Linked DNA regions of Oryzias latipes. The protein of the gene in region 4 binds, or shares a complex with, the protein of the main gene of each other region. Links are inferred from orthologs where the notes say so. Each region holds a gene or a part of one and is shown on either strand. Other genes may lie near its edges. The genes, in order: cnot8, cnot9, CCR4-NOT transcription complex subunit 7, cnot11 and cnot10.

What was found.
Region 1: cnot11 (region 4) and cnot8 share a complex: the UniProt entries of both Homo sapiens proteins name them as parts of the CCR4-NOT complex. The link is inferred for Oryzias latipes from reciprocal best matches to the Homo sapiens genes CNOT11 and CNOT8.
Region 2: cnot11 (region 4) and cnot9 share a complex: the UniProt entries of both Homo sapiens proteins name them as parts of the CCR4-NOT complex. The link is inferred for Oryzias latipes from reciprocal best matches to the Homo sapiens genes CNOT11 and CNOT9.
Region 3: cnot11 (region 4) and CCR4-NOT transcription complex subunit 7 share a complex: the UniProt entries of both Homo sapiens proteins name them as parts of the CCR4-NOT complex. The link is inferred for Oryzias latipes from reciprocal best matches to the Homo sapiens genes CNOT11 and CNOT7.
Region 5: cnot11 (region 4) and cnot10 share a complex: the UniProt entries of both Homo sapiens proteins name them as parts of the CCR4-NOT complex. The link is inferred for Oryzias latipes from reciprocal best matches to the Homo sapiens genes CNOT11 and CNOT10.

The regions. Positions count from the first base shown.
Region 1 is NC_019872.2:29,378,601-29,385,269, forward strand, and holds the start of cnot8 (CCR4-NOT transcription complex subunit 8), read left to right. Parts: upstream 1-2,221; 5' UTR 2,222-2,320; exon of another isoform or gene 2,321-2,491; intron 2,492-3,222; 5' UTR 3,223-3,304; coding exon 3,305-3,421; intron 3,422-3,555; coding exon 3,556-3,749; intron 3,750-4,190; coding exon 4,191-4,352; intron 4,353-5,231; coding exon 5,232-5,376; intron 5,377-5,464; coding exon 5,465-5,575; intron 5,576-6,669. Other genes in the region: protein FAM114A2, read left to right, coding at 390-443, 515-625. UniProt on the Homo sapiens protein: Has 3'-5' poly(A) exoribonuclease activity for synthetic poly(A) RNA substrate. Its function seems to be partially redundant with that of CNOT7.
Region 2 is NC_019879.2:16,419,880-16,424,539, reverse strand, and holds the end of cnot9 (CCR4-NOT transcription complex subunit 9), read left to right. Parts: intron 1-2,030; coding exon 2,031-2,122; intron 2,123-2,571; coding exon 2,572-2,740; 3' UTR 2,741-3,308; downstream 3,309-4,660. UniProt on the Homo sapiens protein: Component of the CCR4-NOT complex which is one of the major cellular mRNA deadenylases and is linked to various cellular processes including bulk mRNA degradation, miRNA-mediated repression, translational repression during translational initiation and general transcription regulation.
Region 3 is NC_019868.2:26,783,524-26,790,192, reverse strand, and holds the start of CCR4-NOT transcription complex subunit 7, read left to right. Parts: upstream 1-2,961; 5' UTR 2,962-3,163; exon of another isoform or gene 3,164-3,393; intron 3,394-3,563; 5' UTR 3,564-3,570; coding exon 3,571-3,687; intron 3,688-4,296; coding exon 4,297-4,490; intron 4,491-5,644; coding exon 5,645-5,806; intron 5,807-6,669. UniProt on the Homo sapiens protein: Has 3'-5' poly(A) exoribonuclease activity for synthetic poly(A) RNA substrate. Its function seems to be partially redundant with that of CNOT8.
Region 4 is NC_019879.2:14,490,075-14,496,394, forward strand, and holds cnot11 (CCR4-NOT transcription complex subunit 11), read left to right. Parts: upstream 1-2,037; coding exon 2,038-2,356; intron 2,357-2,435; coding exon 2,436-2,600; intron 2,601-2,671; coding exon 2,672-2,824; intron 2,825-3,146; coding exon 3,147-3,349; intron 3,350-3,733; coding exon 3,734-3,936; intron 3,937-4,051; coding exon 4,052-4,148; intron 4,149-4,233; coding exon 4,234-4,431; 3' UTR 4,432-4,738; downstream 4,739-6,320. UniProt on the Homo sapiens protein: Component of the CCR4-NOT complex which is one of the major cellular mRNA deadenylases and is linked to various cellular processes including bulk mRNA degradation, miRNA-mediated repression, translational repression during translational initiation and general transcription regulation.
Region 5 is NC_019874.2:7,744,547-7,750,971, forward strand, and holds the start of cnot10 (CCR4-NOT transcription complex subunit 10), read left to right. Parts: upstream 1-2,512; 5' UTR 2,513-2,708; coding exon 2,709-2,739; intron 2,740-3,322; coding exon 3,323-3,417; intron 3,418-3,522; coding exon 3,523-3,684; intron 3,685-3,756; coding exon 3,757-3,910; intron 3,911-5,004; coding exon 5,005-5,144; intron 5,145-5,880; coding exon 5,881-5,964; intron 5,965-6,041; coding exon 6,042-6,125; intron 6,126-6,425. UniProt on the Homo sapiens protein: Component of the CCR4-NOT complex which is one of the major cellular mRNA deadenylases and is linked to various cellular processes including bulk mRNA degradation, miRNA-mediated repression, translational repression during translational initiation and general transcription regulation.

The DNA.
Region 1 (6,669 bases), on a different chromosome or scaffold from region 4:
CGTCAGTGTCTTCTTCCAGAAGCTCCTGTTAGACGGCTGGAACTGAGACTGACGACATTCAAGAGTTCCTCCTGCAGAAAGCCCAGTAGCGCCCGGTCCTGCAGTGAGGCCACGGCTGCAGTTGCCATAGAAACCAGGGTTTTTCCATTCAAATGTCCAAAGTTTCACTTTTCCTCCACCTTTTATTTCTTAATATAGATTTGAGTCAAAAACGAGTTTTATAGAAGATGCGTTTATTGTTGTTGGTAAATAAAATGAAACACTAGAATAGGCAGGAAGGGGTTAAAGCACAGAACCGAACTGCAGGATGCTTTCAGGTCCGCTTGATCCCGGTACCGGTTCCACAGACGTTCTCTCTCTGCAGGCTAACGCTTTGCCCTGTTTTTCAGTCTCAGGACAAAGGAGACGTGCTGAACCCCCTGATTACAGGAGTCTTTCTTGAGGTGGGTGTGCCATCGCTGAATGTTCATGTTGCCCCTCCCACAGCGCTCCTAGAAATGCTCCTCCCACACAGGCGTCCAACAGCGCGTCCTACATCCAGGACGCTTTCCAGCTTCTCATGCCGATCCTGGAGATCTCCCACATCCAGAGGAGCGCCGCGTCTCCAGAGAACCGACGCCGCTGAAAGCCTTTTGAAGAACTTCGGCCGGAAGGAGAAAAGCTTTTAGTCGCACCGTTCTGGGGGTTTGTGAAGCACAGAAGCAAACATGAGGCGTCCTGACCTACAGGGACTCCACTGCTTCTGCAGAAACAAACAGGGAAACACTTTATTATCACACTTCTGCTCAAAAAATTCTTTTAATGAAAAAAATCGAATGAAAACTTGTAGGGTAAGGTGGGACGCTTTAAATAAGAAAAAAAAAATTAAAAACAAAAATCTGAAACAATTAGAAACGACCCAAAAATGTGTGATGTTTGCACTTTTGTCCCGGTATCTTTGTTGTTTTTCTCCGAAGGTTCTTTGACTCTCCCCATCAGCAGAGACGCTGTCGCCCTTAAGGGTCATCTAGGGATTCTGACTCAGAGTTGCCTCACCTGAGCACGAGTAAAGGAGGGTTCCTCGCTGCACTTGTAACCTCCACCAAGGCTTAGTGCTACATGGAGGGGTGGGGTCCCGTGGGAGGATGGGTTCTGCCCCCAGGCGGTAGCAGACAGAAGTCATTTTACTACTAATCAATAAAGAAGCTTCTGCAGTCACTTTGCGTTGACGAAGCAGAAGCAGCTTCACCTGCAAGGTGGCCTTCAAAGCCACACCCTCTTTTTAATAATTTTCCTTATTTTTAATCCCCTGCTGTTGTTTTACTTTATTATGAAGTTGTTCTTCTGTGTTTTTCCCTTAAAGCTGCAGCTGTTTCTGTGCTAAACATGATGTTTCTGTGGAGGACTGAAACTCACTTCATTCAATTGTGTAAAAATGTAAAATAAAAGGGTTCGGATGGACCGATTTGAACGCTGTTTTTCATTAGTTTCCTGTGACTTTTTGTCAAATCTTTTCCTTTCATGGTCATTGGTATCACATGGTCTACAGAGGGAACTACAGAGGGAGCAGCATGTGCAGCAGCTGCTCTTTCACCATTTTTTACCTCATCTAGGTTTCCGCGTCGCTCAGCAGATGCGTGTTTGGGGAAAGAAATACACATTCGTTTATACATTAAAAATACAGTTTCACATGAAAATACCTGTAAAACACAAGGAGTAATGAATGTTTCAATGAAATGTTGATATTCAAACAAAAACATGATATACCTACATGTCTCATGCTGTCTTTCATATGTTAAACTAAATTCATATTTACATTTTAATTATATGTGTATTGGAACCGTTACAAAGGTTATCATGGTTGAGTCCTGCACAATATAACCATCATATAGTTTGATAAATAATGTTTATTCTAATGTGTTCTCTGCTTGGCATTTTAGTTACATATTTGGGTTTATTGTTTTCAGTTTACAAACTTTTTTTTAAATAGTGTTTTTTTTTGTATTTCTGACATTTTTATTATGATTATTCCTATAATTTATTAAAAAGGTACAATGAATGACCCATTTACTGCATGGATGAGGGCCTTTAGGAAAAAATTTGTGTTGAAGTAGTTAATATGAATTTGACATATGAATATATTTAAGTAACAAAAAAATGTAAAGATAAGTCATACATTTTTATTTAATGGATGGATGTCAACAAATGAAGTAGCGTTGTGGAGCTTCCGCTCCGGACCGGCAGGGGGCAGTGTGCACGTTTATAGTCCACTCCAAACCGGAAGTGAGACGGTAGGAAATGAAGGAAGCAGACGACAGCGTTGTGTCGAGGGAATTTTAAGGTAAACCGGTTACCTAATTAAACGACTACATTTTTTTTCCCGGGCAGCTTCAGTCAGATTAAACACTTTAACAGGGCCACGTCATTTATTTATTCTTCAATGCTGCGTCATCTCTGCAACTTGACCGCGCGCGAATATTAACGTCTATGCTAACTGTTAGCATCGATCACGGTTTGTTTTCATTTTCTTTTCTGCTTAAGAACAATTTTAAAGTATATTTGTTTTATTTATAGTGTTAGAATGATTGAAAATATCGGTTTTATATTTGTATTTCGGCTGAAGTTAAATTAGTAAAGCCAGTTCCGCACTACAGTCAGTACGGAGTCGGCTGTCATGGCAACAACAGCGTTTTTTTAATGCTGTTCTTTGTTGTTTCTATTTTTATTGTTAGTTTTTGCTCGTTTTGAGAGCCTCCATACAGCGTGTACTTTCATTATATATAAAGATCTATGTGGAAACGCGTCAGGTAGACTGTAAAAATCCCAGTTACAGACTACAGAAACGTCATTTTACCATGTAACTTTCAGTGCTGCTGTTGAACTGATTTTTTTTTTAAACCAAATATATGGTGACACCCAAGACTACTTGGTGGATTATTACATACAGAAAGCAGTTAGTCTTCAATCTATCAATAGCATTTTGAATCAAATTGATGCTGTGAAACAGGGAAACAATTGTTAAGGGGTCAAAGCAGGACAGAGTAAAGACACGGTTTGACCCTGCATTTGACCTTAGATCAGTAAATGATGCCATCATGACTGGGTAACTTTTGAATAAATTAAGTAGACTCTTATTAGATGCTCAGCTTCCAAAGATTCCCTATTTTTATGTTGTATACTTGTGATGATTTGACGGCATTACTCTGAGATTTAAGTACGTTTTTTCTAAATCTCCTTTCGCAGTTCTTTTTTTGTTGCACGGTCCCCCTTCCCACCCCCCCTTGAAGCCCTGCAGGACCGTCGGGTCTCCTAGGAACCTGCCAACATGCCAGCTGCTCTTCAAGATTCCAGCCAGATGATCTGTGAAGTCTGGGCGAGCAACGTGGGGGAAGAGATGAGGAAGATACGGCAAATTATCCAAAGCTACAACTACGTTGCCATGGTTACAGGCTCTCCTTTCTTTGTTGACAGTTGAATTCTAAAAAGAAAAACAAAGAACGTAAATGTGGTGATTGCAAATGTGTGCTAGTCTCTTCCTTTCCTGGAGTGTCCTAACCCTGCATTTCTGTGTCTTAGGACACGGAGTTTCCCGGAGTCGTGGTCCGACCCATAGGCGAGTTTCGCAGTACGGTAGATTACCAGTACCAGCTGCTGCGGTGCAACGTGGATCTGCTGAAGATCATCCAGCTTGGTCTCACATTCATGAACGAGGATGGGGATTACCCCCCCGGCACGACCACGTGGCAATTCAACTTCAAGTTCAACCTGACGTAGGTGCTTCGTCGTCTCATGGGACTGAAAACGTTCGCTGCTTCCTGTCAACCTGCTGGCAGCCTAAGCCACTTATGTGCTATGATGACAACAGTCTTTAAAAATAATAAAAAACATAAACAGAGACGCCTGTAAATTAAACTCCAGTACGTAAGCCTTAAACAGGCTGTGAAAGATGCAATGAGCCACTTCTCCACTAGGAGACAGTATTTCACACAGAAGTTTGTGCCTCAGCTGTTCTACTGTGGTGTTAAACTGCATGAACTTTTTACTTTTTTTTTTTTATTAGATGTATTTTAATAATTAAAAAAAGGTTGATTTACATTTTTGTTTACTCCTTTTCATAAATCTCTGAAAAGTGAAAGGTTCACAGGTTTTCTAGTGAAATAAGATGATCAAGTCCTGAAATGATCCTTGATGTTCTCTAACGTTGTGTGCAGTGAGGATATGTACTCCCAGGACTCCATAGACCTGCTCCAGAACTCGGGTCTGCAGTTCAAAAAACACGAAGAAGAAGGAATCGACACGCTGTACTTCGCCGAGCTCCTCATGACGTCGGGTCTGGTTCTGTGTGAGAACGTCAAGTGGCTGTCCTTCCACAGGTCGGTTGTCTGCTGGCTTGTTCCATGAACGGGGGTGGGAGGGGGTCTTCTGTTTGATCTTTCAGAAATCATAAAATATAATTAAAATCACTTTAACCCAGTAGAACCCACGGTGACGTCAGTGTAACAGAAAATATCAGAAATGGATTCTTTGGTCCATTTGGTTTGTGGTTAAAATATGCACTTTATTTTAAACAACAAATGGGTCTGGGTACTTATGGGTTAACACCAGAATAGAGATCCAGATAAAACAATGTAAGCAGGTCAAAAACATCTCTTTTACTCTGAACTTAATCCTTGTCAGAGGAAAAACTTCTCTGGGATCTTCAGGGAGAAATTTCAGAGATTAGCTGCATGGAGCTGAATTCTGAGCTCCAGTTAAAGTTCTGCCTCTGGTTCATTCCAAATATGATCTCTGATGCTAAAGCATGAAGAGACTTGAACAGAAGCAGAACTATTTGAAAGGCTGTTGTGTGACCTCGGGACTGATGGTCAAAATCAGAAGCGGAGCAGCAGCGTTCTGGATGAACTGCTGCTTCTTTTCTGGGTCCAGACGTTACAGCAGTCTGACCTGCTGGAGACAAACTCCACAATAAACTGGTATCTTAGTCCTCTTTGGTTCTGCTGATGTTTCTTAGACGATATAATGTAGATGACGTTCAAGATTATGGAACTTTAAGTCTTTGCAGAGCTTTTTAGAGCGACCGTCACCATTTTCCCTGTCTTCCTCTGAGACAGACACGATCTAGAAAAGGTTTCTGGGATGCTGCTTCTATTCACATTGATAGTAAACTTTTGCAGAACCTCTGAAACTGTTCAATGTCTAGAGGAGTTGATTCTCTGAGTTTTTAATCATTAATAATTTTTGTTTTGTCTCAGTGGTTATGACTTTGGCTATCTGGTGAAACTCCTGACGGATGCGCGGCTTCCAGAGGAGGAACACGAGTTCTTTCAGATCTTAAACTTGTTTTTTCCTGCAATTTACGATGTGAAGTATTTGATGAAGAGCTGCAAAAGTCTGAAGGTAAGGCCTGCGGGTCACAGGGTTTATTGCTTTCTACATCCCCGAGGAACGTGGAGCCGTCTCACTCCGTCTCCGCTTGTTCCTGCAGGGGGGGTTGCAGGAAGTGGCCGATCAGCTGGAGCTGAAGAGGATTGGCCGGCAGCATCAGGCGGGGTCGGATTCGCTGCTCACGGGCATGGCTTTCTTCAGGATGAAGGAGGTACAGTCTTCATCGTTTTCCGGCTGACAGCTGTTCTGTTGCAGCTGGAAGTTTTTGTGAATCTGCTTAGATGGTTTATAAAATGTCTTTCGAGAAATGCATTTATAAATGCGTAGAATTGTAGATCTTTAGTGTTTTATGTGTGGACATACACTCACCCACTTTAGCAGCTCCACTTTGCTTGTACCCTCTTTAGCCTTCAGAACCGCCTTAATCCTCTGTGGTTTAGAATCAGCAAGGTTCTGGAAACATTCCTCAGAGACTTTGGTCCATGTTGACATGACAGCATCAGTTGCTGCAGATTTGTCAGCTGTACATCCATGATGCCGATCTCCAGTTCCACCGCATCCCAAAGGTTCTCTATTGGGTTCTGGTGACTGTGGAGGCAGTTTGAGTCCAGAGAACTCATTGTCATGTTCTAGAAACCAGTCTGAGATGATTCCAGCTTCATGACATGGAGCCTTATCCTGCTGGAAGTAGCATCAGAAGATGGTCCACTGTGGTCATGAAGGGATGGACATGGTCAGCATCAATACTCTGGTAGACTGTGGTGCTGGAACCATGCTCAGTTGGTACAAAGAAAACATCCCCACACCATGACACCACCACCACCAGCCTGAACCGTTGATACAGGGCAGGATGGATCCATGCTTTCATTTTGTTGAGGCCAGATTCTGACTCTACCATCTGAATGTGGCAGCAGAAATGGAGACTCATCAGACCAGACAACGTTTTTCCATCTTCTATGGTCCAGTTTTGGTGAGTCTGTGTGAATTGTAGCCTCAGTTTCCTGTTCTTAGCTGACAGCAGTGGTACCCGGTGTGGTCTTCTGCTGCTGTAGTCCATCTGCCTCCAGGTTGGACGGGTTGTTCTTTCATTGATGCTCTTCTGCAGACCTCTGTTGGAACCAGTGGTTCTTTGAGTTCCTGTTGTCTTCTATCAGCTGGAACCAATCTGACCTCTGGCACCAACGAGGCATTTCCATCCACAGAACTGCTGCTCTCTGGATGTTTTCTCTTTAAGGACCGTTCTTTGTAAACCCTAGAGATGGTTGTGGGTGAAAATCCCAGTAGATCAGCAGTTTCTGAAATCCT
Region 2 (4,660 bases), about 1.9 Mb from region 4:
CAAGCCTTCCACCACTTCTTTGATGGTTACAATATCTGCAGTGTTTCTGCAGATCTTTTCTTCAAGGGAAGCAAATCTGCCCGTTAATTCGCGAATTGCATGTAAAATATCAGCATTTGACACCTGTTCTTCTTTTTTTCCTGAACACTGTTTCTTTGACAGAGGACTTGAAGCAGGAGATTCAAGCAGCAGTGCACAAGCAGAACCTGCGCCCTCTTCATCTGTGTCCATTATCATGTTCCCTTGATTTTATCTCGTTTCGGCATGGCGTTAGCAATAGCTAGCTAGCAGTCGCAAATAGTGGTGGATTGAAAGATCTTCCCCAGCAGGAACTCCCAGAGCGAGTAAGTAATATTAAGTTCGTTTTTTTTTTCTTTATTTTTTTTTTTAAGCAAGCTCTCTTACCGGTAGTCAGTCAGTGTATTCATTTGTTGTCTTGTTACTAATAGACAGGGTTTGGCACGCAAACTTCTGCAGAGTTTAGAACACTGTATGCTCGCGGTCCGCCATCTTGCCGAACCGCCGGACAGCTCGAGGAAGTCGGAACCGGCTCATAAGCCACTCATCCTCGTTTGCCAGGAAGTCTTCTTGCTGTCTAAATATGCGTTCACTCCGAATTCTTCCATTTGCCACATCTTCTAAGAGCGCAAGATAAGCCATTGAGCGTCATTACGCATTGTGATGGGGCATTTTATTTCCATCCATTTAATTACATCTGACAAGCTACAGATGTCGGTAATAATCGACGTGGAAATGGGAAATTGATCAGCGCAAATGTAATTTCTTGTTGCTTTCTGAATGGTTGAGACATACGCTATACATTGTTTTATCAAAAATAAAACAAACTAAAGGCATATGCATGAATACCATAATTCCATAGCTTATGCCTTATGAAGAAATGTTTTAATATGAAAACAACTTTCACCAGTGGACAATTAATGTCTGTCTGTCTGTCTGTCTAATTGCACCAATATCTGCTCCGCCAGACGGACACATTAACGAGAATATCAGTTTTGTACATTATTTCGTTCTGTTAACTATATTGTTTATGAGGATGAATTGCACTACATGCCAATATTGTAGAACATATTTCACTTTTCTTTTTGCAAATATGTGTTCATTTGAATTTCTGTTGTAATTTTCGTTTGATTTTTTTGTTTGTTTCACTGCTGATCGATCAAACGGGTGTTCGTGTAGCTGTTAATTGTAAGACTTGCTTTGTGAAGTCTTCATGTTATTTCTGAGAGGCAGTATTGTCATTTTCACTTTCATGTGTTTCTTCCATCTGCCGACGGTGTCGCCGTTTCTCATTTCACCCGTTTTTGTGCGTACGCCTGGGTCAGAGCTTGCGTGAAGGACCGCACATTTTCCCGTCAAGTTTGCTTTTTATAAATCTCAATTATTGCGTAGAGAGTGGCGTACGCCTTCTTTTGTGCGTACGCAACGTTTATAAATGAGGCCCCAGGTCTTTTTGCGTTGCTGAGTTCACCAGTGCTTTCTGTCTTTCTCAGGATGTACCACACTGTTGATTTTGCCACTCCTAATACTGTAGCAATTTCTGGCATGTTTTTTTTCTGTTTTCTCAGCTTAATGATGGCTCTTTTCCCCTGCATGGAGAGCTCCTTTGACCGCATGTTGTCTGTTCACAGAAAAATCTTCCAAATGCAAGCATGAGTCCTCTAATCTTCTCCAGGCCTTTTATCGGCTTCACTCATAATGACATAACAAGGGAATTACCCACACCTGCCCATGCAATAGCATGGAAGTCAATTATCCAATTATTTACGAGCCCATGAAATGAAGGGATTGTGTTTAAAAAATGCTTTAGTTTTTCACATTTTTATGCAATCTTTTTGTTCAACCCATGGAATAAAAGCTGAAAGTCTGCACTTCAACGGCATCTAAGTTTTATTTAAAACTCACTGTGGTAATGTACAGAAACTAAATTATAAAGAATGTGTCTATCCAAATATTTACGGTCCTGACTGTATGCTACACACCACAATAATACGATCATTTTATCTGTGCAGGGCAAGATGGTGCTGCAGCTCTCCAAAGAGCCATCAGCTCGTCTGCTGAAACACGTTGTCCGCTGCTATCTTCGCCTCTCTGATAACCTAAGGTAAAACAGTCTCCGTGACTAAATTTGCCTTTTTTATTTATCCTAAAGTTCCTGGAAAACAACTATTTTGATTGCAAAAAAAAAAATAGAATTTGATCTGTGTTTTTTGCAACTATCATTACTTAATGTGTTTCTACTGGTTAAAAGTGCTGCAAAAACAAGCATATAGCAACTTACCGGTAAATGGGAATTCCACATAATGCCTTCAGATATTTCTTTCTTTCCTATTTTGGATGAAACATGCATTTTTGGGATAATGAAACTTGGAAAAGAAGGGTAACAGTTGTCTGAATTAATCAAAAGTGATAAAAGATTTACAATGATCAGCTTTTTTTTTTTTTAGAACTTTTAAAAATGCTGTATAAACAAATGTTTATTTTCTGATTGGCTGATATATGAGAAGTTACATATGTCCTACAGTGATTTGACATTTGGTTTTCTTTTCTCAGAGCCAGAGAGGCCCTTCGTCAGTGTCTACCAGACCAGTTAAAGGACAACACCTTTGCACAGGTGCTGAAGGACGACACCACCACCAAGCGCTGGCTCGCACAACTAGTGAAGAACTTGCAGGAAGGCCAAGTTACCGATGCTAGAGGCATCCCACTTGCTCCACAGTGATGGAGCTTCAATCCACAGTGAGGGGGTGTGGTTCCAATGGACACAAATGGACTCACTTGGTGTTTTTTGCCAAATTTGGTGCTAAAGCTATGCACTGGAGAGGCTTAAAATAAGAGATGTTTTTCTTTTGCTTTAGTTTGTTTTTCTAAAGATAGGGTTGTTGTCAAAACTGTACACTTTTATAAAAAACCTTAAAAATCTGATTTTCAAGCCTGACTCATTTGGACGCCTAGTACATTACTTCATTTTATATGAGCAACTGGCTCAAATATTGACTGAGACAAATTTCTTTCTTGCTACCCTTTTTTTGTCAAAGATGTTTGTGAAATGTTGAGGTACATTATGTTGCATTTAAGGGAAAACTTGCAACTTCAGCCCCGTTTCTGCTTTAAAATTTTCTGAAAGAAACAACATATGAAAGTTAGGAAACTACATCCAAGATTTTTCTCAAACAGCATTTTTCTGCAAGTCATCCTGAAAACTGTTCTTAAATCTGATGCTGGCGCTTTTTATTGTTACCACTCGATCTTTCTGTAACTTCCAATAAAAGCTGGTTTTGCTTCTAAAATGAGCATTTTAATTTGCATTAGTTCTATGATAATAGTGAGCAGGAAATCACAAATATTCTACAGTAAGTGGTTGTTAAGGTTTAACAGTCATTCTCTGATATTTTGTCTATTTACAGCTACACTTTTTTGGATACATAATTGTAAACATTTTTAAAAAGTCACCATTTGTTTGTTTGACCTTTAAGACTTTTCCAGAGGATGATCAAACTCAGGATGTTGTGTGAATGAGAAGTGCAATTAGAGGAACTCCTCCCTTTAGTCTTGGAAAGACGGCTGTCCCAAGTGGCCAATTTTTTAAAGGATATTTATCTGGATGGATTATGGAATAACACACTGGAATAATAAGCACATTTTCTCTTGAAATATTCCTGTCAAAATATTTCCAAACAAGAAAACTACTTGTACTGTCATGTAAAGTATTCTTAGAAAGTAATCTTGGAGATGTTTATTGATAATTGATTAGGCATCTGTCTATTTAAGCGTTCTATTGTTTTTGCATTATAAAGGCTTCAATTGTTAGCAGTGGAGCATTAATTCTCTGGTTGTTTAATGTCTGCTCTAATAATCTGACAATTTCTCATGTTCTTAAGTATTGGCAATCCTTTCAACACATTTTTTATTTTTTTTAAATCAAATATTTATTTTTCAAAGATGTGTTATCTTTTAGGGAATAGTTTCTTTAAAACATTGCTCATGCTCTGCAACACCACCTGAAAATTAAAAGTATCAAAGATCCACCATCTAACAGAAGAAGAGTCACACCCATGTATGTAAAGCACCAATGTGGTCTCATCAAACTAAGGGAAAGACCTCCATATCACCTTCATGTCGCAAGTTGTTAAAGCATAGGATAGTTGGCATATATCTTGGTGATTTTCTTGGATGAAGGTTTTCATAAGACTTTTATAAGATAAACAGAGATTGGTTCACCAACAACTATTTTAGCAGACTTCTTGACAGAATTAGCAAAATATTTTAAAACCCTTTTTCTTTAAACAATAATACACATTAAATGTGTTTTAGATACAGTGAAGTTGCATTACAGCCTTCAACCAAATAAGAGCAACCACATTTGAGGCCGATTTCTTTTAACTTCTCCAAACCCCTTTAGACACATTTTGAAGAACCTCATATGTGTAGCCACCTTAGAACGCCACACAAAGAAACAGAAGCTCATCTTTCCTCACTGTGTCCTCTATCTTTCATGTCTGCTCGCTCCACTAATGAACCTTCATTTCCCCTTTACCGGTCCATTAACAGATTGTTGTCCACATGGGCTCCATTAGCCACGTGGACTCAGATATAAATCATGCATCATGGATTTACCTGCGCTCAAGCCTTCCATTTGAGA
Region 3 (6,669 bases), on a different chromosome or scaffold from region 4:
TTTGTTACTGCGCCTTTTGCAAATGAACAATGCTAGAACGATTGTGCATGAGGATCTATTGTTACATGTATTTCTTTTTTAAGCACTTCTTATTGTGTTTTGACAGTCTTTGACAGTTTTGTGCTTTAACAAAAGTAAACAAAAAGTTTCAAATGTGTCTGTTTTATTGTAACATAAATTAAGTCATTATTCATCACCTGCCATATTCTCCTGAAGAGTGCTCACCTTTTTTTTTTCCGCTTGATCTCAATGTTTTGTAACCACCGTTATTGCAAAGGTACACGAATAAAGTTATATTGAAACCAACAGCTGGGTTTTTTTTTGTCAAAAGAGAAAACCATGAAAAATACATTTTTAAAAATGACTCGTTTAAATTTTAACTGCTGCTGACTTTCCTTGTTAGATCTATAATGTCAAATATGAAAAAATCTTACAAAAAAAGGTATGTATTTCATGTAAATTATGTTCCCCTGCAGCTTAAAGGTTCGTGAATGGCAGTTTTGTGACATTTGATTGAAGTCCCAATCTGTCTGAAAGAAAAAAGGACTAAGTCCAGGCCCCCCTGTTCTGGTCCCCATCCAGGATAAAATACACGGTTGTGTCAGGAAAAGCATTCTGCAAAAAACTCTCTGCCAAACCATTTGTTGTGGCGACCCATGAGGGAATGTGCCGAAAGGTGAACAAACAAACGATGGTCTTTGTTCTTTTTTTTTTTTTTTTTTTTTTTTTTTTACGATTAATCGAAAAATACATCAATCCGATTGAAGAGCTCAGAACATTTTTATTTAATTAGGAAGTATAAGCAAATATTGTGATCATTTGTTTTGCGTATGCAAGACATTTTCATTCAGAATTTTTTTTTTCAATTCATGATTTATTTCAGTTATGTTTTTATGACCAAAAACGTTGAAACATTGTTTTAAACTTCAATAATAAGAAAAAAAAAGCATTTTTGACATTATTGACATTTATATAAGAGCAATAAAATGTTGCAGGATAACATTTATTAACAATCAACATGGTTTTGATTCAATATTATAACATTTTTAACGATGATATTGCAAATTAAATAAAGTTTTAAATCAATCTAAAATGAGATATTGATAATATGTATATCAATTTTTATGTCTTGCAAAATGTATTATTTGAGATTTGTTTTGCTTCTTTTGATTCTCCAATTAATTAAGACAAAAATACAAACAGTTGTAAACATAAAGAAATAAAATCTAAAATTATGTAATTTTTTATAAAAATGTATTTACATATTTTTAAATAAAACACGAAATAACAAAATGTTTAAATGATTTATGAACGTGGAATGTATGAGCATCGAAAAATACCATTAACTGATAAAATTATAATAAAGAGAAGTAATTGCAGAAAAAATTAGCATGAAAAATGCAATAATTCATTCATTTTCTTAACCGTTTATTCCCTTTCGGGGTCACGGGGCTGCCGGAGCCTATCCCGGCCACTTGGGCATAGGCAAGGGATACCCTGGACTGGTTGCCAGTCTGTTGCAGGGTGGAATATCCTCAATCACACATCCATTCACTCTCACACTCACAGTTATGGACAATTTAGAGTTGCCAATTAACCTATGAAGCATGTTTTTGGATGGTGGGAGGAAGCCGGAGACCCCGGAGAAAACCCACGCATACACGGGGAGAACATGCAAACTCCACACAGAAAGGTCCCCCATTGATGTTCTGTTTTTCACGTCCCCCAGCCGGGACTTGAACCGGGGGCCTTCTTGCTGTGAGGCAAGAGCGCTAACCACTGCGCCACCGTGCAGCCTAAATGCAATAATATTTACTAAAAACGATTTTTTTGTAATCTTATATTAGCCACTGATTTTTTTTATTTTAGAAAAAATTACATAGTGGGAGATTGTCCCATTTTGTCTTTGTGTTGCAAATAAATAGAAGATGAGGAAGTGAAGCAACAATATGTTTATAAATAAATTATTTTGTTTTAAAAAGTACACATCCTACCTGAGGATGTGTACAAATCAAGAAAATGTGGGTCATAGTTTCAGGTTTGGCATCACAAAAAGAACCACTGGTGTCATCATTTTTGCAGCTGTGTAAAATACTTCATGCCCGAATTTATTCTCAATGTTGAAAAAACTTCCTTTGTGAATGAAGTGCTGGAGAAAATGAAATGTTATGAATTACTAACTTACGGGATGAGGGGTTAAAGGTCAAAGAAAAAGAAAAAGAATGAAATACAGATAACATAGAAAAAAATTAAACATTACAAAAATTACATAAGGTATGAAAAATTATAAGGGCATTTACACAACATATTGGTTATTGAGGGTTTGTGTTCAACAATAAAAGTTAAAGGTAAAATCTTTTTCACCCTAAATGTCCTCTAGTCCATATTTGTTGAAAATGTTTCCCTTAAAGATGTCAATCATATGCATTCTTTTTTTTCATCTTAGAGTGGTCATAAAATGATCAAAATCAACAAAAATGCGAACGTTGGATTATGATGCGTCTGTGAAAATTGTACTTTTTTATTAAAACAAGTGATTTGAAAAACGAATTTATCTCTGCATCATGTTTTACTTGAATTTAAAATGTGGCCTTTTTGGTTTCATGGCTAACATTTTTATTTGTGTAAAACTTTTTCAGTAATTTACCAAAATAATATAACTTTAGGGGCAAAAAAAAGTTTATTTTACTTTAATATAAATTGAAAAGAAAATATATTTTGTGAAAAAATAAAAAAAATCTGTACAGTATAATTTTTAAAAATAATATATCCTTTGAAAATAATTATATATACACTTTCAACGAGAGCCTGTTCACCTTGAATAAATTAGTAATTAATAAGAAATATATAACGTTTATTTGTACTTTTTAAAATTTATATATTCCTCTTTACAAACATTTATTGGAAAACCTTTTTTCACATTTTACGGATGAGGATCCTGAAACGTCCTTACGTCCTGACGTTTCACTTTACGTAATGACGTCACTGTGTGGGGTCCGCTGTGATGGCAGCCGTAGGTTGACATCAAGCCCCACTGAATATAAAAGTATTTCAAAGTTGGCGGAACACCCCCCTCCCCTCCCTGCTGACAGATATCACAGAACACACGGCCAGCTTTCAGATAGCACACGCTCAAACACGCGCGCGCCCGTTTCGGGGAACGGTGAGTCAACGAAACAAAACCTTTGCAGTCTCCCAAAAAAAAAAAAAAGAAAAGAAGTGACGCCCCGGCGTGTGTGCGCGCGCGCGCACTGCTGCTACTTACTCGTGCCTGTCCTGTTGTACAACCACTCCTGTGTAGTTGATCGAAACTAATGTTTTGTGTGAGAAAACCGCACAGTCGCCACTCCTCTTGTTCGGAAGTTTTACCTCCAACCCGCTAACTGTTAACAGGTAACAAGCTAGCAACAGTGCTGCTTTAAATTACGAGCTAGCAGGCGGCTAAAACACACATGACTTCTACTACTAACTAAGCGGCTCTTTTCATGTGGTTTCGGCTGCTTTGTCTGTGTTTTCATGATGCTCTCATCATCCCCCGCCCCCCATCTCCACGCGTGGTGAAGTGGCACTATGCCCGCAGCCACTGTAGACCACAGCCAAAGAATATGTGAGGTCTGGGCCAGTAACCTGGAAGAGGAGCTCAAGAGAATCCGGCACGTCATCCGAAAGTACAACTACATCGCAATGGTGAGAGATGCTCAGAGACCCCACCCATCCATCCACCTATCCATCCACCCACCTATCCATCCATCCACCCATCCATCCATCCATCCACCCATCCATCCATCCACCTACCCACCTATCCACCCACCCATCCACCCACCCATCCATCCACCTATCCATCCACCTATCCATCCATCCATCCACCTATCCATCCATCCACCTATCCACCCACCCATCCACCCATCCACCCACCCATCCATCCACCCACCCACCCATCCACCCATCCATCCATCCATCCATCCATCTACCCACCCACCCATCCATCCATCCATCCATCCATCCACCTACCCAACCATCGATCCACCCATCCATCCATCCACCCACCCATCCACCCATCCACCCACCCATCCATCCATCCACCCACCCACCCACCCATCCACCCACCCATCCATCCACCCACCCATCCATCCATCCATCCACCCACCCATCCATCCATCCACCTACCCAACCATCGATCCATCCATCCATCCACCCACCCACCCACCCACCCATCCATCCATCCATCCATCTATCCATCCTCCCACCCACCCACTGTCACTGGTGTCCACGGTCCCTCGTTCTTGCCTCTTTCAGGACACAGAGTTTCCAGGAGTTGTAGCCCGACCCATCGGAGAGTTCCGGAGCAATGCCGACTATCAGTACCAGTTGCTGCGCTGCAACGTGGACCTGCTGAAGATCATCCAGCTGGGCCTGACCTTCATGAACGAGCAGGGAGAGTACCCCCCCGGGACGTCAACGTGGCAGTTCAACTTTAAGTTTAGCCTCACGTGAGTCTCTCACTATGTCTAAACAGACTCGTCCGCTTGGATTCCCATGAACGACTTCACAATCTGTAAAAACAATTCAATTCAAAACACATTAAAGTCCTATATGCCTTTGATCTATTTTAAAAGCATTCCCAATCAGATTTAAATTATGGTTATTCCGTATTTTAGCCACACACAAAAAAAAGTTGTCATTTTCCTGGATATAGTTTCTGCAGTTTCTACCCTTTATTCTCCTTCCTTGTTGCTGAGAGCTCTCTGTTTACACAATCTCCCGGTAGCTTACAGCCCCCTCATACCGCCTGACCTGATATTGACCGGTGCAACAAAAAGGGCGAGCCAGCTCAGACGAGGAAGACGAAGGTTAATTTTCTTTATGTATCATCAAAAAAAAAAACCACCACCACATGTTAAGCCCTCCAAAAACACAACTTACATTTTTTTTATCAGAGGGGGTAGGCGCACAAAGGGGATTTAAATTAATCGAAGAGAAAGCATCCTGAATGAAAATAGGAGTTTTTATATTTAAAAAAAAAAAAACAGATCAAAGCTGCCTGAAAAATACAAGTAATTAATGAAAAAAATAGCAATAATGCATGCTCTAAATAGGAAGCACAGGTGTTTTTTTAATTGTTTTTTATTGTTAAACAGATGGGGTTTTTTTTTACTTTTTTTACGTAAGCTTGGGTGGCTTTTTAAAAAAAATTTTAAGTTATGTTTGTTTTGTGAATCATGTAAAACATCTAAAGATTCTTGGAGAAATCCATGGTGGATGTTCTGGGACGGAGGAGGCGGGGCTTACAGGAGAAGCATTTGTCTTTCAGAATAAGAGCGGCGCTTTCATCCCTTCTCACACGATTGGTCCCCCGTGGGTTCAACGATGCTTTTCAAAGTCAAGCGTTATTCTGTCCATCGTTCCCAAATGGAAGAATTTGCACTTTTTCCAGCATCCAGTCAGATCCTAGTCGATCTATTCCTGCCTTAAGTTTTTTTTTGAAGGTTTCCCTCTTTGCTGAGCAAACCTACAAAGTTTAAGTTTTTTAATGGTTATTCTGTGGCGTTTTGTTTGTTGTTTTTTTGGAATGAAAGCGTGAAGCTTAGAAACAGAGATGTGTTTTATTTATTTATTTCATTTATGTATTTATTGTTTTAACCAGAGAGGACATGTACGCGCAGGACTCCATCGAGCTCCTGACCACTTCAGGAATTCAGTTCAAGAAGCACGAGGAAGAAGGCATCGAGACGCTGTTCTTTGCAGAGCTGCTGATGACATCAGGAGTGGTGCTCTGTGACGGAATCAAGTGGCTCTCCTTCCATAGGTAGCCCCCCATCAATAGTTGCTCTTCACGTTTGTTATTGACGGTAAAGTCATCGTCTTTTTCAAGCTTAAATAACAAACTCTGCATCCCGCGCCGCTGCATCTTTTATTTTATAACAAACCTATATGTCTCTACCTGTTTTTTTGTGTTGTTTTTAGCTAATCGCTTCCTTTTTAGGAGATATTTAGGTTTAAGTTGAACGATTTTTCACATCTGCGCAGCACCAAAGACTTTCCTTCTTATCGTTAGGTTTGGATGTTGTCACTTTTTCTTTCAAGGCGACTTCCTTCAGTCATTATCGTTGTTCTGTATTCAGCGCCGGTTTACCGGAGGAGAGACGAACCAAAACAAGGAAAACAATCTCCTTCGCAAAAGGATGTGAACGCCCTAAACGTTTCTGAAAATGATGCGGCGAGGCAGAAGAAAAAGTTCACAGGACAAGCAGAGCTGTTGAAAACAGCTTTGGACTCAAAACCATATGTTATAAATTTGAAAGAGAAATATTTTAAATTCAAAAAATGTAGGGAAAAAAGAAGAAAAAGCTCTTATCACTACTGTACGTCACATCTGAATAGGGATGACACAGACGGGGCCGTCAACAGATGCTGTTTGGGGGTGGAAACGACATCACTGAAACCTGTCACCTGGTGTCAATCAAACACCGGTAGCCAATGAGCACAAAGCTCCGCCCCCCGGGTAAAATTAGGATCGACTAACTAAAAGTCAGAATTAAAACTGTAAATTTAGGTCTAAAGGAAAAAACATACGTTAAAATTTGCCAAACAGCAGCTGTTACTAATATTCTTTTTTTCAAATTTACAATTTTTGTCTTTCACATTTTCAACATTTCTTTCATATTTGTC
Region 4 (6,320 bases):
TAATTGTATGTTCAAGTCGGCTTAAAGTTTATTCTGAATGTTTAATTCATCTTTTTTTTACCTCATTTACTTGAATCGTACATTTGTGTAAATATAACTAGTGAACGTTTATTTTCCTTTTTAGCACACTGGTTAATGCAACCCAGCTCACCAACTAAAGATCTTACTTTATTATCTTCTCTTTTTTATGTCGTTAAGTTTAGGTTCATTGAATGTCAGGGCGTTAAAAAAGGCTACCAAGCGTAAAGCTCTTTTCTTGTTTGCCAAAAAGTTAAATACAGACTTTTTCTTTTTTCAAGAGTCCCACTCTACAAAAGATGATGCAAATTTCGGGAGATCCCAATGGGGTAATAACATATTCTTTTCTCATGGAAGTCAGCACTCAGATGGCACTCTTACGGTAAAACACAAATTTGAAGGTGACAGTCTTACACATAAATGACCTTGGCATACGAAAATAAGACTTTTATAGCTATAAATGTATATGGTTACAATACTAAATGTGAAAATTCTCAACTCCTATCCATAATAGAAAATTGTTCACCTGAATGTTTAAACAAACTTCCCCATGCAATAATTATAATTGGAGGAGACCTGAATATGGTGTTAGATTGTCGACTGGATAGATGGCCACTACAAACTAATAATCCTAATGCTGAACTACTTTAATTTATACAAAGTTTTCATTTAAAAGATCCTTGGAGAGAAGAATCCAAACAAGATCAAGTTTTACATGGAGCAACAAAAGTATCTCCCGGCAGTCACATATTAGCCATATACTGGCTTGTTTTTGATCGTCTAGATACAGATGATATTAATATTAACATTTTTTTTTTAAAGATGGCAGTCAAATTCCCCGAGCCCTAAATCTAGTAAAAGATTTTTCTAATGGCCCTGCACTTCATCTTAACATCAAAAATGTGAAGAACTACCTATCAAATTTGACAAAACACGATCCATATGTAAAATTCCCATCACATACATGTAACACACCTAGGGATTACTATCACCAAAAATTATGGAAACTGTGTGTTGGCTCTCCAGCAGCAGCAGTTGTCTCTCTTGCCGCTCGGGAACTCTCTCCCGACGCCAAAGCCGTTAAAGACATCCCTGTTACACACAACCGTGTTTGCTTCTTAACTCTTAAATAATGGACACAGGAGACATTTCATTCTGAACCTGAAGTGCAGCTCCCCACTCACTTCGTCTTGACTATGATGAGAGGCTGCGCCTTCCTTTTTATTTTCAACTGCACGTAAAAAAAATTGGCGCATGCTTACGTAATAACATAATCAGACAGAGATCGTCTATGGTGACAGACATTGTACTCCAACACTGTGTAACATACCTAGGGATTACCATCACCTAAAACGAACATAAGAGAAGTTCTTCAAATTTCAGTCCCTAGTAAAACGTTTTAACTTATGGGTTTTAATTTAGGTCTCTTACCTGAGCCTAAAAGGCAGAGTACTGCTATCTCTACCTTCTCTTAACTCTCTCTCTCTCCCTCTCCCTCTCTATCTATCTATTTAAATAAAACAAATGTGAACGATTATTTGGTAGGAATAATTCATATACCATTTCCACCTGCTGGACTGGAGAGAAACTGAAGAAAACTACATCACCCAAGATGCAGTTCACCGGAAAATACGACTAAAAAATACTTCAAGCTAATGGCTCGCAGCACTATCCCATTCAGGGTCTTATTTCTTTCTCAGTCCTGGAAATATTATCTTTTGTAACTCTTTGGTTCGATTGATAAGTTATACGTTCATTTAATCTATTTGGATAATTATTTTTAAAAAGATGATTGATGTTTTGACGAGTTTCCCGGTTTTGTAGCTTATTTTTAAGCTAGGCTAACTTGATGCTAACCGCGTTATAGGATCTCAATCGAGATGACTTCTGGGCCACCGTCCTCCACTCTGCGTCTTCAAAGATGAATAAGCGGGTAAGAGCGCCGCTATAGTTATACAGAAAGACTTATCAGGGACCCCGGTCAATCTCTGCATCCGATCGAACTGTGGCGGGGAAACGATGACTCTGGCTCCAAAGGAACTGTCCAACCTGCTGAGCATAATCTCGGATGAGGCCTGCAACAACAGCTTCGAGACCCTCTCCACTCATTTCCATCATTACTTTGGGAAGGCGGACCACTTCAAGGTGGGTTCGGTTCTGGTCATGCTGCTGCAGCAGCCGGACCTGCTGCCCAGCTCTCCGCAGCGGCTCACAGCCCTCTATCTGCTCTGGGAGATGTACCGAACCGAGCCGTTGGCCGCGAACCCGTTCGCCGCCGTGTTCGCGCACCTGCTAAACCCAGCACCTTCCGGGGATGAGCAGGAGAAAGCCCTGTCCGGTAGGGCCGCTTCCTTTCACCTTTAGCCCGACGTCTCATCAGAACCGCAGCCGCTCAGTCTCTGTTTCGTTGGGTCCAGGCTTCCTTCCTCCCATCACGCAGCCGGAGAAGTTCTTCCTGTCCCAGCTGATGCTGGCTCCGCCCAGAGACCTCTTCAAAAAGACCCCCAGACAGGTGTCCTGCATGGACGTGAGCAACATGCCCCCATCTATAGACATCAGCGGGCTGCAGCTTCCTTTAGCAGGTCAGTGAAGGTTGTAAGGAAACATCTCATCACAGGTGAAGACGCCGTCAATCCCAGCCCTCTTTTTGCAGAGCGCCAGTCAGAGCTGCCCACCCAGAGCAAAGCCAGCTTCCCCAGCATCCTCAACGACCCCGATCCAGACTCCTCCAACTCAGGCTTCGACAGCTCTGTGGCCAATCAGATCATTGAGTCTCTGGTCACAGGGCTGCGTCCTCCTCTGGAGAGTAAGTGCTTTTTTTCACACAAGCTGTGATCACATCTGTGGAAGAAAGAAGGAATCTCCTCAGAAAAGATGGTAGCCGTCTCCTCAGCAAAAACTCACGGTTACAGGTTGATCGGCGCCGACCTGATCTGTTGAGTGCGATTGATCTTTAACTGATACTTTAAAAAAAAAAGTGTTTGAGTGACTGTCTAGAAGGTTTTTGCTGAAGTTATGTCATTTTTCAGTAGTTTTATATTAAAGTATTTAGACTTTGTTCAAAGGCCGTCTGTCTGAAGGTGTTGCTATGAGGCATGGTAAGTACCAGTTTCTCAAAACCCTCCCAGGTCATTTTCGACCCGAGTTCATCCGGCCGACGCCTCCGCTCCACACATGCGAAGATGAGCTGGCGTGGCTGAACCCCACCGAGCCGGACCACTGCATCCAGTGGGATCGGTCAATGTGTGTGAAGAACAGCACCGGCGTGGAGATCAAACGCATCATGGCCAAGGCCTTCAAGAGTCCGCTGTCGGCTCAGCAGCAGTCCCAGGTAGGTCTGATGCTGATCAACAACATGTTTGGTTTACACAAAGGCAAAGTCAGGGTTAAAATAAAAACTTTATTTAAAATAGGAACTCCTGTTCTTTGCAAAGAAACAAAAACTTAACTTCAGATCTGCTCTTTTTTCATTTTTAAATCAAGATTTATCAAAACAAAAACACAATTTGTGGGAAAAGTATTTGTTTCTTTTTTAACCTTTGTCTTCCTGGATTAGTTTTCTGGTGGTCTTAAAAAAAATCAACCTTTATTTTTCCCTTCACTCAAAAACTTTATCGTCCGTTCCCTAAAAGACAAATTATTTCTTGTGGAGGCGTTGACTCCTACTGCTGTGCACCGCTGTCACTCCTCTGTATTGACCTCGCCGTGTGTGCAGCTGCTGGCTGAGTTGGAGAAAGACCCAAAGCTGGTGTATCACATCGGCCTGACGCCTGTGAAGCTGCCTGAGCTGGTGGAGAACAACCCACTGGTGGCCATCGAGATGCTGCTAAAACTGATGCAGAGCAGCCAGATCACAGAGTATTTCTCAGTGCTCGTCAACATGGACATGTCGCTGCACTCCATGGAGGTGGTAAACAGGTGGGGGCGGGGCTTTGGCTGTATTCAGACCTGTTAACGAATCTCCAGTTGGGTTCCAGTTTGGTGCTGTTTCTGTAGTTTGGAAGTGATGGAGTTGTTTGCTCTCCTCCGTCAGGTTAACCACAGCTGTGGATCTGCCTCCAGAATTCATCCACCTCTACATCTCCAACTGCATCTCCACGTGTGAGCAGATCAAAGACAAATACATGCAGGTCAACACGCGTTCTTGGAACTGTGAACTGCTGAAGAGAGCTCAAGAGTTTTCCTCTGGAATAAAAACCCGCTTGATTCTTGCAGAACCGCCTGGTCCGGCTGGTGTGCGTCTTCCTGCAGTCGCTGATCCGAAACAAGATCATCAACGTCCAGGACCTGTTCATCGAGGTGCAGGCCTTCTGCATAGAGTTCAGCCGCATCCGTGAAGCGGCCGGCCTCTTCCGCCTTCTGAAGACCCTGGACACTGGGGAGAACCCGGCCGAGGCCAAGCCCATCAAATGAGCAGGAGTCCTGACATCAGAGGGAGCAGGGAGCCGTACAGCTCAGTCATGAGAGGACGTGCTGTAAATATGCAGCTCTGCGGAGGATCTTTGTCACTGACTCATCAATTTTTTCTTTATTAAACCCTCGAGTTTGTATTATTTTCGATGTCATTTCCTGAGTGATCAAATGTTGCATTAAGTCAAAGCTGCAGAAATTCCATAAGCTGCTATCACTTCGGCAGATTTACTGGAGCTCAGTGAAACATTTGAACTCAAAAGTGTTTTACTCCTTATTTTGTCTCCATAAAATTGTTGAGTGTTTGGTTCTTGTGTGCAGAGTTGTATGTTTGCAAAGCGTGACACAAGTTCTGACCGTTTTCTTCTGCTCCCAGTTTTCTAGCTTTTAAAAATGTTGAGGGTAAAGTTTTGCTGCAAATGCTTAAATCATTTAAAAAGGGTTTCAGATGTCGAAATAAAAAAACTCAGATTTTAGGATGACAAAAAGACCGACTGTTCTTCCCTAATCCCTATCTAGGGGCAGCAACGTCATACAGTCTGTGAGCAGAAAATGACAGTAAGGTCAGTTCACCAAATAACCACTATGTTTTGCAGACTCAAAATGATGGAAACTGGTCCAATTTCCCAACAAAAACTGAACCCAAAACTGTGGTGTCTGGGTATGAGGGTATAAGATCTTAAACCTGACATCAAACTTTCATCCAAATGAAGATGTGGCTTTTTTTTTTACTTGTCCTGTCCAACAGCTAGGCAGACAGATGAGAGCTGGAGGCCTCTTGTGTTGGACATGTTTTATTTTAACAACAGGGGTTATGAATCTTCAGACAAACCAGAGGTATGTCTGAATAAACCCCTTTTGTAATCGAGGCCAAACTTTATTCATTTTAATCATATTTGAAAATCTTTTTCGTTTGGAGCTTGTGGAAAAGGAAAGGAGGGAAGAAGAGAGAGGGATGTTAGAGGGGGGAGGGGTTAAAACCATGAAGCAGCATAAAGCAACAAGTTGCTGGATGTTTATAATAATTACAGTGAGGTTCAGATGTAATACAAGTCTATAAGGGCGCGGCCTGTCCACACACACACCCAAGTGTCACAAGCATACCCGTTGGCTCCAAAAATGTCAACATGTACACAATAACCCTTGTGCTATCCTATGACCCCACCCTTACATTGACGTGTTCTCCCTACCATGACAAAGGTGGATAAAGATGAAGACGATTTCATGTAATCCATGGACACCAGTGAGGTTCACAAATCATTGAAGAAAAAAGGTTCAGTGCACTTTCTAGTGGGACAGAGAGTGCAAGCTCCAGCCCAACCAGGAGAGCAGCCCCCAACGCAGGGCCCCGCCCCAGAAGAGCACCCACAGCCCCAGATGAGCACCCCACCACCACCCAGGAGTTCTGGGCATCCCTCCACCCCGACCCCGGGTACGAGCCAAGGGAGACCCGCCCCGCGCTCCAGGCAGCCACCCACCCGGCCCACGGTTGGTCCAGAAGAAAGCAAGGCAGGGGCCAGCCATCCCCACCCAGGAAGAGTAAGATGTGGTCTTTTCATTAACTAGTAACCCTGTTCCTATGACAGATGGATGTTTCTTTCCCGCCCATGCAAAGGTCTGAAAAAGAAAAAGCTTTCTTGGATGATTCAATTCCTGAAAAATGTTTGTCCCAGTAATTATATTCTCATTGATACCATGGTCCTGGTGCATACTCACTTCTGATTGGCTGCAGACTTTCCATTCTAATACAGTGATAATGGACACAGAGGTTCTGGTCACACAACCTGAATGTGCTGTATCATTCTGCTCAGTTGGGAACCAAAACAACAGAAACGTGGACCATGGTGGATGGACAGAAGTCATTCTACATCACAACAGCAAGACAGTAAAAG
Region 5 (6,425 bases), on a different chromosome or scaffold from region 4:
GGAGCATAAATATTGACTAAAACAACCAATAGACAGTAAACAACCAAGACTCTCATCCAGGTTGATTCCATCATAGTAGTAGGTTTAGGGGCTGTCATCTGGACTTAGTTTTTAAAGTTAGAAGAAGATGTTTCACCTCTTATCCAAAAGGCTTTGTCATGACAGCCCCTAAACCTACTATGACAAAACAACCAATGTTTTGTGAAGTCTGTCAGAGACAATCACATACCGTCCAAATTTTTCTGAAACCACATTATGAGATTCAAATGGGACATCATGACTGATCAAAATTGGGACCCCTCATGTGCCGTGTCACATGTTATGTGGTTACAAAAGTGGTCAGAATTGTAACTTACCAACAACAGTAAGTGTCTGCATACAGGATTTTAGGTGGAGGTTCTTGGACATGCTTGAACTTTTCAGTCAGCCCAGTCTTTTTTAGCCCTCTTCAGATTCTGATGCCACCACAACAGTGGTCAGACATTGACCCCATTCATTCAAGACACTCCTGAGGTATTGCATTGTTGCTTGATCTTTTTCACCTGCTGCAACACACGCACAGAATACAAAAGTGCACTTACAAAATTCATAAAGAAAATTTGTTTATCAAGTATCTTGTTAATACCTGCCAATGTATGAAGCTCAGCATCTTTAATTTAACCAGGATGGTCGTGGCTCCAAACAGGAGCAACAAGTGTTTCCTCCTGTTTTGCTTTGTGTTTCTGTGGGGGAAGAAACATCCCAAATTTTCATGTAGTTAAAAAAATGAAGAACAGATGCATCACATTTAAAATAACCAGTTTCTTCTGATGTTTTATTTATTTATTATTATTTTTGAGATGGTTACTTACTCTCCTGTCCAGATGAACTCTAATTGAAGGGAACTGCTTCACCACCTCCAGCAGCCTCTCCTTCTGCCACTTCATGGATTCGTTTTTTCTCCTTCAAGGAAAATTCTGCCAATAGGTTCGCTGAGCACAGCTTGTGCTCAACAGGTGCTGTTCGTTTTCAACCTTTTACTCACAATCACCTGTCTAGAATCAGCTGCAAATTACACACAAGTTTTCTGTGTTGACATTGCAATTACCAGGGAAAAAAAGCTTTTGTTTTATCTCAGCTTAAAGATGATTTGTTGTAATTCATCGATGCTGTTATTTTATTTTGTTCTGCATCCACATGATTGCGTTTGCACCTGATTTCAGATTAAACCGGTTCAGTGTGGGACACACTTGTGGTTTCATTTGAATTTGTCATATCCATCCATCCATCCATTTCTGTGTCACAGTGTTGTCTGTCGTAGGGCACACAATCACACACACATGCACACCTATAGGGACACTATTAGAGTAGCCAATTAACCAATGAAGCATGTTTTTAGACTGTGGGAGGGAGCTGGAGTGCCTGGAGAAAACCCACACATGCATGAGGAGAACAGGCAACTCCACAGACAAAGGTCCCAGTCGGGATTTAAACTGGGGCCTTCTCAGCACTAACCATTGTTCCACCTTGCAGCCCAGCGGCATTGTTATATTTGAACCCTGTTGAAGGGAATTTGCAGGACATGGGTGGGGGTGGTTGGGTGTGTTATGTTTTGGGGATGGCTCCCATCCTCGTCTCCTTGATTAGCTGTTTCCTCTATGTTCTTTCTTAACTCCATCTCTGCCTCTTTTTCTTCACGTTGTCTCCTTATTATTTGAAGTTTCCATTAATCTGTTTTAGTTCCTCTGTTTCTTCTTCTACCTCGCCTCACCTTTCCCTCTCCTGTCCATTGGAGAACAAGGAACAGTTTACCTTTAACTTGCATCTGGTATTTCATTTCTCACTGAGGTTATTGTAGTTAACAAGAAAAAACCAAACTAGATGTGATAAGGCACAAGAAGGAGACAGAGGCTTTGGGTAAGTAGCTCAATGACACCTGTGTTGACACCTTGATGCTACAAGACACAATCTCCAGCAGCTGCTCAGAGATCCGCCCAGCCTGCTGAAGAAAGAGGCGCACCATCAGACTGACCATAGCCACTGAGGAGAAGGACTGGAAGATACAGTTGAGGAGGAGGAGGAGCAGCATCATCAGGTGTCACTGAACTAATCCATGCGTATACCCCTGCAGGACTTGGAGAAGAAGCTGGATGTGTGCCGATCCTCATTGACGAGGCAGCTGTTGACCCAAAAGGAAAAGAGCAAGGAAGTCAGAAAAGAATCTTGCAAATAACAGGAGCAGACTGATCAGCTGAGCAGATACATCCTAAAGAGTTTCTGACTGTTTCATTCTCTGCCTTTTACTGACAGACAGATATTGGAAGTGGAGAAGTTCCACTATTGAGCTCATTTAATGAAGCCACAGAACTGTCTTCTACCTGATCAGCAGCCTGACTCGATAGGACGGATGTTAGATTTTGTTAATAAAGTTTGTTTATACTTAACTACAAATAAAGTTTATTCAAAATAAAAAAAGACGGCGCGTGCTCTCATTCTTACCATGGACAGTTACTTCCAAAGGGGGCGCTGTTGACAAACCGTGCGCTGGTGTCGATGGCGCCAGTGACCGAAGAAGAACCAAGAGAAGCGGCTACAGCAGTCAGTCACTGAAGCCGACCACAAACAGAGCTGGTCCGGTTCGTGTAAAACTCTTTCCAGTTGGATATTCAGGATTTCCTCTTCCCGGCGTTGTTCTTGTGTTCTCCTACAGCTCCGCGGCTGGATTGTGGATGAAGACCCGGGAAATGGCCGAAAACTCCGGTGGGTGTTCCGGCTGATGATGCTACTAACTAGCTGCTGCTCAGTTAGCGGCTGCTTCTGCATGATGATGATCCGTCAGTGTAGCTGAAACCCCCCCAAAAGACATTAGAGGTAGCCCGACAGCCCCGTGGCAGATCCAGGACTCCCAGGTAACCGTCCCGAAGTTGGGGTGCAGATAATACTGAGCAGACTGTGGTTAGATCAAAGTTCTTGAGGTGATCCAAGCAGGTCCTGCTGCTCATCATGGAACTATGACAGGACAGACCATAACTCAGACACAACACCACGTATGAAGGAACCCCAGCTTGGCCATGAACAGACGCGTCCCACAATAAACTGAGAGAAGGTCATTACGTCGTCATACACGTGACATTCTTTTGCTAAACTTAAGGCTACAATATCTGCCTTAAATGAGAGGGATTTTCAGAAATGGTCTTAGGAAGTTACCATGTGGGGTCTGAAGCCTCCAGAGTGAGAGGGAAGGACTGCAGAGACATGGCGCCCTTTGGGTTCTGGTTGAGCCACGCATTCCGTCCTCAGGTGGAACTCAGAGGGTTTGATGTCTCCTCTGTTGCAATTTCAGCCGAACGCAACGAGGAGAAGCATGACGGCTCGGGTGTGACGGGCATGAGCGACCAGGAGAAGGAGCTGGCCTCGAGTGCGTACGAGTGCTTCTTGGTAAGTCCGTCTCTCTTCGGATCGTCAGCAGAACAGGTTTTGGTGCATGTGGTGGAGGCTGGAGCTGGGTAATGCCACACGACGTGAAGCCTCTGTGTCTCACAGGCTGGACGGTACGAAGAGTCCATGAAGCACCTGGAAGCCCTGCTGGAGTTCAACAAAGAGGACTACAAGATCGCCATGAACAAGGCCGTCACAGAGTTCTACAGGAGCAGTCAGACCACCACGGGCACTTTGAGGCAGACGCTGATGGCCATGAAGAACCGGGTAACAGCAGCTCACCGACACCTGCACTCTAATACGTTATGAGACGTTTGATTGGCCGACTGTGTCCGCCAGCTCCACTCATCGCTGACGGAAGACGCCGATGGCCTGGACGACGTGGAGAACAGCCTGCTGTACTACAATCAAGCGGTCATCTGTTACCACTTGAAGCAGTTCTCTGAGGCCATTTCCATTGGAGAGAAGCTCTACCAGTTCTTGGAGCCGTTTGGTGAGTAGTCAGCAGGGCAGACTCCCCGCCTGCCGCTGTCTGTGGCACAGGTGCATGCTCTGCTCTGCGTCTGGACGTTCACATGGGGGTCACTGAGGTCACATTGTGAGAACACTGGGGTCCTGTTGTGTCCCAGAGAGGTCTGTTTCAGAAATGGAGAGTCCCTGCAGCCTCATTGATTATGGACCTGGAGTGTTTGACGACGCTGAAGTTGGCTTCCGATTCACAGCTTCCAATTCTCCAGGGGACTAAAGGAACATTCCACGGCATTTTTCACATGAAGGCCACGTAGAACCGGTTCCTCTTCAAACCCCACAGGGCCTGGACTGCTCAAACCTGGATTCCATTATGATTTAAATAGTAAATACATTAAACACAGATGTGGAGAAGTCTTCATGAATGTCCAATGAGGTTTAGTGCATGGACACACCATCTTTGGTCATGTGACCCTAAGGTCTGTGCTGAGCTCAGTTGACGAGTTTTCAGCTCCCTGGTAGTTGCTCTTCAACCAGATTCTACAAACTTCTAGCTTTTCCAATAATGGGAAATGTCAGATGTTGGGGGGGGCACACCCAAAGTCACCTGTCAGTCACCAGATCACGCCTCCTTTTTGATCCCAAATACCCTCAAATGGAAGCATCGTCTCCATTGTAGTGTCTGTAAATGTAATGAGAGGTCAAACCTGGATTTATGCTGGTGCTGCCTTTTCTGATGTAAACATCCCAGCTTTCTTTGTGATCTGACCAATCAGCTGATACTTTTCTTTTCAAACCAGCTTCAATGATGAAGTTAAAAGTCTTGGTTTGAGCCACATCTTCAGGCTGTCCATCTTCAGACGGCATGTTGTGCAGCAGGATCTGTTCTCAGCGCCTGTGGGTTCAGCTTTTTTCTGCAACGTTCTGTCTGAAAGCTCCTGTGATGGATCAAGTTCCCACAGTCACCGTCCTGATCCTCAGGGACGCGTCCCGCACAGTCTGACCCAACAGGAAGCCTGCTGGTGCAGACTGGACTGGGGGGGATTGCTCCATGCATGGCGTGCCTTACATCAGGTCTGCTCTCGGCTGTGTGTGTAAAGACTTTTTCATTTGTCCCAGAAGAGAAGTTTGCTCAGGCCGTCTGCTTCCTCCTGGTGGACTTGTACCTGCTGACCTTCCAGCCAGAGAAGGCGCTGCACCTGCTCGCCGTGCTGGATAAGCTGTCTGCTCAGGGCGGCAGCAGGAACGGGAAAGGAGAGGTAAGCGGCGCCGGCAGTGTGATGAAGAGACGCCTCATTTACAGGAGGAGGCTTTGTTCTACTTAGATTTGTTTAACCTTTTTCTGTCCCTTAGGTAAATGTTAAACCTTAAATCCTAATGATTTACAAGAACAAAGATGTTGAAAAGCAGAGTTATGGTATCTTTCGGAGTATAAATAGCTTTTTAGTTTGGGCAGGGGTGTGACTTATACTCAGGAGCAAATGATATATGTGATTTAAAAAAACTGTTTTTTAAACTGAGTCTGAAGAGACGGAAGCACCATTCAGACGCAGCTCCTGCAGCAGACGGTGAAGCTCACCGTCCTGGGAGAATCTGTGAACGATGTCATGGAGCGGCTGTGACTACAGAGCTCTTCAAAAGTCTACCAAAAGTTAGACTTGCAGTCCAGAGCCACTTGTAGTCTGTGAAGTACTGGAGTTAGTTTCTCTGCAGTTTTCTTTTCCTCACTCCAGCCGGTTTCAGGCTGCAGTGACGGCTCGTGCGGCTGCTCTCTGGGCCTCTTCATGACAGGCTGCAGTTTTTTTACTCTTTTAAAGCTGCCTCTCTTGCTGCTCGCTGTTTTAGGAAATGCATGGCAGCAGCTGACGCGTCACTGTCGACCTGCCTCCTTCCTGTGGGTTAGAAACGGAATGAAGGGACCGACCACGAGAGTCCTGTTCCTCTGTCCACTGTGTATATGATGGAAGCATTACTGTTATGTGTGTGTGCTTGTAGAGCGCCACTTCACATAAGGACGCTGGCAGCCAGAGGGCGGAGTTTGCAGCCATGATTGAAGCAGCAAAATACAAACTCCACCAGGTCAGAGCTCTCTGGGTCCTCTCCCTTCACTCTGCTGCCTTGCTCCAGAACCCTCACTCTCTGTCTCCTCCCTCTAGTACAAGGTCAGAGCCTACATCCAGATGAAGTCTTCCAAGGCCTGTAAGAGAGAAATCAAATCGGTGATGAACACAGCCGGAAATGTGAGTTTCCAGTGGGCTCCATGCACACAGCCTTCCTCTGTCCAGAGAACCCTGAGTCTCCTGTTTAGCTCCATTCTGTACAGTCAAAATCATGAGATTCCAGGTCTTTGTATTCAGTTTAGCTTTGTTTATATCTGCCTCCCATCTTTTTCATGACTGGATTTCTACTTAGAAACCTTTTTTTTGATAGAAATCGTGCTGCTGGATGCTTCACCAGTGACCCTGGAGAGGACATGTCCTTGCTTATTTCAGTTTTGGTGCTCACAGGCTGAACTGTGGTCATGTCGTTACTGTGGTGCT